Cricetulus griseus: one gene and its partner. The protein of the gene in region 2 purifies or fractionates together with the protein of the main gene of each other region. This does not show direct contact. Links are inferred from orthologs where the notes say so. Each region holds a gene or a part of one and is shown on either strand. Other genes may lie near its edges.

Region 1 (4,559 bases), on a different chromosome or scaffold from region 2:
CAACTCAGGGAACAACTGGATGAGCACATCCCCAGGCCAGCAGTGGCCTTCACATTGCTGCCTCCCCCAAGGTGCTGCAAGTAGACTACTGAGTGTGTGAGGCAGGTCAGGCTGTGGAATGGACAGACAGTCAGACACATGAAGCAGTCATGTCAGCTCTGTACCAGGTGTGTAACTGAGAAGCCCATGGTCTGAGCTGGACCCCTGGGCTAGACTCCAGACTCTGCCACCAACCAGCTAGGGTACTTGGGCAGGTCATATGGCCGATGCAGTCTCAATCCACCTCATCGGCACAGCACAGCAAAGATTTGTACATTCAGCGTGTAGTGCTGTGGGATCAGACGGCACATTGACTGTGAGAGAAGAGCCTCACCACCATTCAGGGGCATGGAGAACCAGCGCCTACCCTCAGCCTGCCCAAATCAAAGCAAACCCTTTGCCACTGTTACTGACACTTCCCCACCATGCAGAGGGGTGGGACTTCACTGCTGAAAACCAGTTTGCAGTGTCCGCTGAAGCTAAACACACACCTACCAGGACCCTTCACTCCAGGGTCTAGAGTGGGGAGTCCTAGGGAATCAGCAGAGGGGAGGCTTAACTGCCAGAGTGGCTCACATCACACAGTGAGAGCAAACACAGTCCAAGAGCCCTTGCATTCCTCTCAGAGAGGATAGTGGGACCCCATTTCTATAGCATCCCCAAATAGGCTACACAAAAGAATATGTCATTCAGGAAGACAAAATATAAATGGTCACACCCAGAGAAAAAGCCAGGCAAGGATCACAGGGAAAGAGGGTGATGGTTTCCTGGGAGAGGAATAAGTAGGGACAATGGTCCTTACCGGGTGAGCTGCACTGGGTCCCCCAGACTGTGCCCAGCCAGCGCTCGCCCCTCCCACGACCACCTTTTGTGGTTGCTCTGTTCCGTTCTGCGCGCAGCTGCCTGTTTCGCTTTGGTCTGGCTGCTTTGCACCGGGTTCTCCTTACACCCCAGACCGGGTGCACCCAGCTCTGCAGGCCAGCCCGCGCCCACGGTCTGCCTGGCACTGTCCCTACCCTGCTGGGGTGGTCTTAACACGCCCTGCTGCAGGACCGCGTACCGGACTGGTCAGTTGTTCCTGAGCTTGGGCATCTTGGCACGTGCCACCGCCTGGGGCCCGCGAGGTGCAGTGCCCGTCCCACCTAAGAGATCGGGCGCTCGGGACGAGATGAGCAATATGACCCGTGCAAGTGCTTCTTCCAGCCTCAGTTTACCCTTCCGTGGACGAAAGCTCTGCTTCCAGGCAGTGCTCGTTATAGAGTGCACAGACTCCTGGGATCACCCCGACCACCTCACCCACCCCCACACCAGCCCAGAGTTTAAGGCTTAGGTGGGTGGCATCGCCCTTTGAAGGCAAGCGGTGGGACCCGGCGCGCGCGCTCTCGGCGCGGGGCCGAGCGCCCTCTGCAGGCCATCGCGGGTCCCGCCCCGCCTCCCAGCCCCGCCCCGGCTTCGGGCGGCGCATGCGCGCGGCACAGCGCTCCGCGGGCGGCGAGAGCGAGGCCGGTCCGCAGCCGCGCGGCGCTCAGCGCCCCATTCATGCTGGGCAGCGGCGACGCAGCCACGCAGCGGAGCGGAGCCCGGGCGCTGCGGCCTCGGCCTGGGCGGCCTGCGCGGCGTGGGCGGCCCCGCGGAGGGGCAAGCGGCAGGGCGCGGCGATGGCCGGTGGCGGGGCGCGCCCGGGGTTGTCGGGTGAGTCGGGGCGCAACTTTCCCCTCGGGCGGCGGGAGGCTCATCGCGGCCCGGGGTCCCGAGTGGCTGGGGGGGCGCTGGCGGTGGCCAGGGGGTGTGCGCGGGGACTGCGGCGCGCGTGTCCGCGGCTGGCGTGTCCTGCGGCTCCGGCCGGGCGCCCGCGTGTGTCCGGGCGCGGTCTCCGCGAAAGGCTGCCGCGTCCCGGCGGGTCGCAGCGCGTCCGGGGCCCTGCGATCCGGGCGGCGCAATGTCTGTGGTCGCATTCGCGGCCCCCTCCTCCAGGCAGAAGAGAAAGTTTGCAGTGGCCCCGCGGGGAGGGCCCTGCGGGTGCCCATGTCGGCCCGTGGCGCGCCGGGTCGGACCGGGCCGCGGGTGGGGACGTGGGCCGCAGGCGAGCGCCGCGCTGGGCAGGCCTGGGCAGGGCCGCGGGATTTGGGGAGGTCCCAGGCTGCGTCCTGGGCCGGCCTCGGGCCATGGGGTGGAAGTTGCAAGGCTTAGTGGGGACCCCCGCCCCCTCCGGCCCCGGAGCGCGAGTGAGCTCCGCAGCCACCCCCGGCCCGCAGGCCCTCCAACCGGCAGCTTCAAGGGGAGGTGCGGTGCCACCAGAGAGGCCGCCGGCTCGGGCCTCCTCGGCCTCCCCCTGCGCAGGGCCTCCACGGGGTCATTCCTTCTCTGGAGGCTTCCCCCCTTGCTTCCTGAACGGCCCCAGGCCTGGTGTGCGGCGAGGACGGTGGCGGTGGTGGGCTTACTCTGGCTGCTGCGGGGAAGGGCGAGCGTAGACTCCAGGGAGGCCCCTCTGCCTGCAGAGACCCCAGGTGCAGCCCTGGAAGGGGATGAGAAGGCTTCTGAGGGGCTACTTAGTGCCAGGAGCTGTCTCAGGCTCATCTGTGGGGTGCTGGGGCCACGCCCCTTGAAAGAAAGGGGTGTGTTGGGGGGGGATGGGAAGGAACTGAGCCTCTGCCCCTCAGCCAAGCTCCTACCTCCAGCTTCCTGTCCCCTGGTGCTACCTACCCCTCCAGCAGGTGCTTCGGTCTTCAGTCCTGTAGGGGTGGTGCTACCCTATATGTCTCCAGCCCTCTGGGAACACCCCCAATTTCCCAAGTTTCTAGTTGGGGGTAAGCAGGGGGTCGGGGTGCTGCATTAGGCTGGCCCATAGTCTGCTGGATCTGGGAAGCACTCAGCTAGTGCCCTGGGCAGAGGTGCAAAGCAGGGATTCTGCTTCAGGGCCAAGCTGTCAGGCAGTGGGGAAGTGGCAGCTTGGAGCCCACCAAAAGTGTCTTCAGGCACAGAGGACAGCATGGGTGGAGGCTTGGGGGTCTGTACAAGGTTGGCTGCGCTATGTGTTCTTGGGTTTGGAGCCAGACAAGATGCTGTGGACAAAGCCACATCTGGCCAGGAGTATGGGACTCCAGGGAAGACCAGAAGCTGGCACCTTCTCTGGAGAGCAGGACTCCAAAGTCTCCAGGTAGAAGAGATTGGGCCATTGGAGACCATCTCCTGTGACCTCCTATAGGGTGGGGCAGGGTGACAAGGCAAAGCAATCCTGTGGCTGCTGAGAGGGAACCACTAGGTGAGATGACAGCTAGACCAGCCTGTCCACACCCATTAGGCTCCAGACCATCAGGACACAGGGAGCAAGCTGTCCCCATGTGAAGGCTCTGAGGTCTTTGTTTCTGGGCAAGAACCATGGTGTCATCCAGGGAGAGGGCAGGGTACCAGCTCTGTGTGGGCGACTGGAGGCCTGTTCCAGAGTGGCCCCAGCTGAAGCCCCACCTATAAGCCTGGCCTCTCTCCCTGGGTCCGTACTGTACACACCCAGTACCACCATAGTCCTCCTGTTCAGCTTCTCACTTGTCCATGTTGGGAGCTATGACCATTTGTGCTGCCCCATCTGCATTTCCAGCAGGTGTGTTCTCCCCACTACCTTTCTAGAACACCTCCACCCCACCAGTATCCACTGGACCTGGCTCTTCTAACGCAGGTGCAAAGGCTCTTCTGGGAGCTTCTGGGAGCTAAGGTGGCCAGGCAGCTCACAGAACCCAGAGCCTGTCTGGTCTGCTCCCCTCCCCCAGCCTGGCCCAGAACCCAGTATCAGGCCCTGCTTTGCAGGCACATACTGTTTTCTGAGTGGACTTGGCCCCTTTCCTGCCTGGGGTCTCTACAATAGCTCTAGGTTAGTCCCTTTTTATCGGGGGCTGGCTGTGTGACCTTGGATTTGTCTGAGTCCTGAGTGTAGTCTCTAAACTAGAGAAAGTAGCCCCTGGTAGTCTTTGTGTGTGGTAGGTGTGGGCTTGGGATACCCTCTTTCGTGGCCGGCTGCCCTGAGGCCTATCCCTTCCCATTAGCTTCTGTTGGGAGGCGGGGGAGTGGGCCCAAGGCCAGGCTGGAGTTTGGATGGTGGCTTCTTCAGCCAGGTCCCTCCTGTTTAATATAAAAAGTAGGGCCCGTAATTGCATTAAGACGTGTATAATTATCCCGGAGGAGGGGAGAGCCCAGCCCCTGGTAATTGCAGGCCTGCTTTGAACTGATAAACGGTGAGTGATTCATGTTTTCTTTGGAGTTCACATGGAATCAGTGCTCAGCCCAGGCCCGTTTTGTTTGCAAGCAACCTGCTGTCTAGTCTGCTTTGGTTTAGGGGGTAGGAAGCTGGTGGGGGTGTCTCTCTTCTTGTCTGCCTGTGGACACAAGGGGCACAAGGCAGCTGACAGCCTGCTGGGAAGTTTCCTGCAAGGTGGTACCACCCTGCATCTGCTCTGGGATTTATGCCAACATTTTTGCTGCCCTGAACCTCAGTTTCCCCATCTGATTTCAGGTTGAGGATAGCTTTG
Region 2 (3,791 bases):
CAGCTTCAGCGAGAGCTCCTGTCTCAAAAACTTAGATGAAAAGAAATCGAGAAGTGACACTTGATGTCAACCTCTGGCCGTCACATGCATATGTGTATAATTATATAATTACTCACAAAATATATATTATTGGACATTCTAGTCATGGAGGCTATGAGTGCTAACTATATACGAAGCATTTATTTGTACAAGTTTACCGAAGTACTTATTATGTGTTAGGCAAGATTTTAAATTCAGGGACATGTCAGAGAACACAGGACTGTACCCATTCCCAAGGCTCCACTTTTTCCATAGAATTTTATTTATTTCTGATAAAGTACAGGAGGAAGTTTCCTAGTTCAAAGAATCATTGTGCTATTTCAAAGTCCAGTTCAGTACACACCAACAGTAGGAAGCAGCCACCAGCATTCTACATTCCCTTTTGTGTTTCTTATTTTCATCAGTCTTCTACATTCCACATGCCAAAACCTGTCCCTCTGCCCTTCACAGTGTCTTAACCGCATTTATGAGTCATGGAGAGGGACACTGTGCAATCTGTACTCCTATGGAGGCCCAGCAGAGGGGTTGGAGGGTTTCTGTGCAGTTTGCGTGTATCATATCTGTTTTATTTTATTGGTGGTTTAAACATCTCTTTCCATTTTCTTTGCCTTGTCAGAACCAACAGACCTAGATAAAAAGAACACAGAAATTAAAATTGATGAAACAGGTAAATTCATCTTACTGATCAGCCTCTGTTTTAATTTCTTATTGCTTTTTGCTGTTTGTTAATAAACGTCACTGAAATCCTCAGACACTAGCGTATCCAAGCAGTTTAGACAAAATAAGTCCCTGTGTCTAAGTGAATGGGCATGGATTCGATCATTGTCACAGAGTGCTGTATGTTCTTAGCTGCCTAGGGGACTTGGGGGTGACACTGTGAGGTTGCACTCCACAGAGTGAGTATGCCCAATCCTTCCCTGCCTGAGCTTTTTCACTGAAACACAATCACAAAAGGGTGAATTGTGAAGACTATTCATGTAATCTTTTGAAGCCAACAAATCCTGTGTTCCGCCTCCTAGGTGGAATGTTGAAGAGGGCAGAAAGCCTAGCTTCTCTGAGGATCTTGTCCTGCTCCCTTTCCCTGGCCCTGAAGCCTGGGGGTGACATTGATGGTGGAAATTCCTAAGGGACTGCTGTACACTCGGAGCAGTGGAGACCCATCATCTTGAACCCTCTGAGCAGTTCCACAGGGCAAGCTCCCTCTTGTTTGACAGACAACAGAACTGAAACAAAAGTAGCACAGCTAATTAGGGATAGCTGTGGGTGTTTGATAACTGCAAAATGTGTGGCTTCAGCTAGCATTTCCTCAGTGCTCAGATGTAAGACTGAGCTAGGTCCTGGAAGCTTCCAAACCACCTGGCCAGCACTGCTCCCAGTTAGCAGGGACAGTGAAGCACCATTGCCATCTATTGCCTTTGGAAATGTGGCTCTTCTATATGTATGGCCAGCACAGACTGACAGAGACAATAGACACAGCTCTGTGCTGTTGGAAATATTAACACATTACCAAGTCCACACAGCTGTAAACTTTATTAGAAGTTGTTTCAAAACAATCTTTCATCAAGGGAGAGAGTATTAATATGCCCCCAAGGCTTGTTTTCCCTTGTTTAGGGACTCGCATCTCATATTTTTAGTTTGTGCTGATTGGAATCTCAGTTGATCAGAGGACCATTAAGTAAACACCACACAAGCTGCCCATTAGCATTTCAGTCCTGCTCCTAGCACCAGGTAATTAGGCTCAAAGCTCCCATGCTAATAACTTCTCATGTTCCACTCTAAAGCAAACACATCCCTAGTGACTCCTTCCCAGAGTAGTGTGACTGTTGCCAGCAGCATTATCAGGGTGGTGAAGATACTGATTAAATGTCTTCTACTTGGCACAACGCAGGCACTGTTTCTTGGTCGGAGCCACAGCCCTTTCTGCATGATAGGACTAGGCATTAGTGTATTCAGAAAAAAAAAAACAAACAAAGAAACAAAAAAACTCTCTTCCAGTATTACTAGATAGTTTGGGGTTTAAGGGTGTTTTGTGACTTTCTGTGTAAAAACCCACGGGGACACTAAGAACAGCATCTCATAGTGGCATCATACTGGGCCTGCCTGGGAAGTCAGGCAGAAGTCAGGAGAATGTTTAGATATGCCCACCAAACACAGTAGTTAATTGTGTGGCCAAGATTTGAGAAAACTTCATGCCTGCACATCTAAGGCTGGGGACGTAGCTTAGCTGCTGGAATGCTAACCCAGCATTCACTACACGTTGGGTTTAATCTACAGCAACATATGTATTAGGCATAGTGGTGCACGCCTACAATGCCAACACCAAAGCGGTGGAGGCAGGAGGATTGGCAATGCAAGGTCATCGTCTGCGCCAGCCTGGGCTTTAAACAGCCTGACTCACGCATGGCTACTCTCTGGATGAGAACTATAAACTCATCTGTCACTCTAGAGTGATTTCAAATAGGTTGTGACCTCAGTGTCCACCTCCAAATTCCAGCACCCTCACCTGCCATCCCTCCACTCCTCATGCACTGGAACATGCAATGGCTCCGTGATCCCTCCTGTTTCCCCTTGTCTTCTGTCTCCTCACATGTGGCCTCTCAGCGTTCACGAGTCAATCTTGTCTCCTTCCTCAGGGAGCACACCCGGATATGAAGGGGAAGGGGAAAGTGACAAGAACATCTCCAGGAAGCCGGGCAACGTGCTTAAGACCCTGGACCCCATCCTCATCACCATCATAGCCATGAGTGCTCTGGGGGTACTCCTGGGTGCAGTCTGTGGAGTTGTTCTGTATTGTGCCTGTTGGCACAATGGGATGTCGGAGAGAAACCTGTCTGCCCTGGAGAACTATAACTTTGAACTTGTGGATGGCGTCAAGTTGAAAAAGGACAAACTGAACCCACAGAGTAATTACTCAGAGGCATGAAGGCGTGGAGCTGGAGGGAGCACGAAGGACCGAGGTGGGAGGACAGTAGAGGCGCGGGGACTCTGTTGCTCTGCTCTCACTGTAAGCTGGAAAGGGCGTCCGTGACGCCATGCCAGGCTTTTCTCAGGAGCTTCAATGAGCGTCACCTACAGACGCAAGCAGGTGACTGGTAACAACCGGAATCATGTACAGCTCGCTTTCTTCTCTTGGTTTCGTTTGGATAATCAGAAGCCGGTTGAGACCCAAGTGTGACTGACTTCATGGTTCATCCTCTCTTCCCCCTTTTCCTCTCTCTCCTTACCCTGTGATGGATTCTTCTCGGAAACTGCAAAATCCAAGATGCTGGCACCAGGCATTGTTCAGTGGGCCCTTTTGATGGACATGTGATCTGTAGCCCAGTGCCCAGAGCATATTAGTGTAACCACGTTTCAGGGGACGCCAACATCCACTTTTGCATCGCTAACCCGCAGCGAGCACAGGGGGGGAGAAAAGAATTAGACTATTTTGTCTGCAAAGTACTGTGGCCTCAGTACCCATATAGCGTGTCAGCTCTGTTTACCAAGCAATACCGACAGATTTTCTTGATGTTTTACAGTGTTGTACCGAATCTCGTGTTTGTGACCTCCATTCAGAATACCATACCATGCAGCCACCAAACTGCTGGCACCCGGGTGTCCCGCTGATGACCACCACAAAAGTCTTCGGCACTGGCTAGTCTTCGTCCTCTCAAGTGCCTTTTTGTTTGTACTGATTCCTTGTGTCCCGTGGATGACCCACTCTGTTTCTGGTGAAAACCCTTCTCTTCAATCAGACCTGGTGGCCCACTGAC

What was found.
Region 1: the proteins of Nrp1 (region 2) and Plxna1 purify together in Homo sapiens (affinity purification with western blotting; 4 studies listed by BioGRID). This does not show direct contact. The link is inferred for Cricetulus griseus from reciprocal best matches to the Homo sapiens genes NRP1 and PLXNA1.

Annotation. Positions count from the first base shown.
Region 1 is NC_048601.1:53,942,018-53,946,576, forward strand, and holds the start of Plxna1 (plexin-A1), read left to right. Parts: upstream 1-1,520; 5' UTR 1,521-1,731; intron 1,732-4,559. UniProt on the Homo sapiens protein: Coreceptor for SEMA3A, SEMA3C, SEMA3F and SEMA6D. Necessary for signaling by class 3 semaphorins and subsequent remodeling of the cytoskeleton. Plays a role in axon guidance, invasive growth and cell migration.
Region 2 is NC_048596.1:205,308,338-205,312,128, forward strand, and holds part of Nrp1 (neuropilin-1), read left to right. Parts: intron 1-655; coding exon 656-706; intron 707-2,672; coding exon 2,673-2,962; 3' UTR 2,963-3,791. UniProt on the Homo sapiens protein: Cell-surface receptor involved in the development of the cardiovascular system, in angiogenesis, in the formation of certain neuronal circuits and in organogenesis outside the nervous system. Mediates the chemorepulsant activity of semaphorins.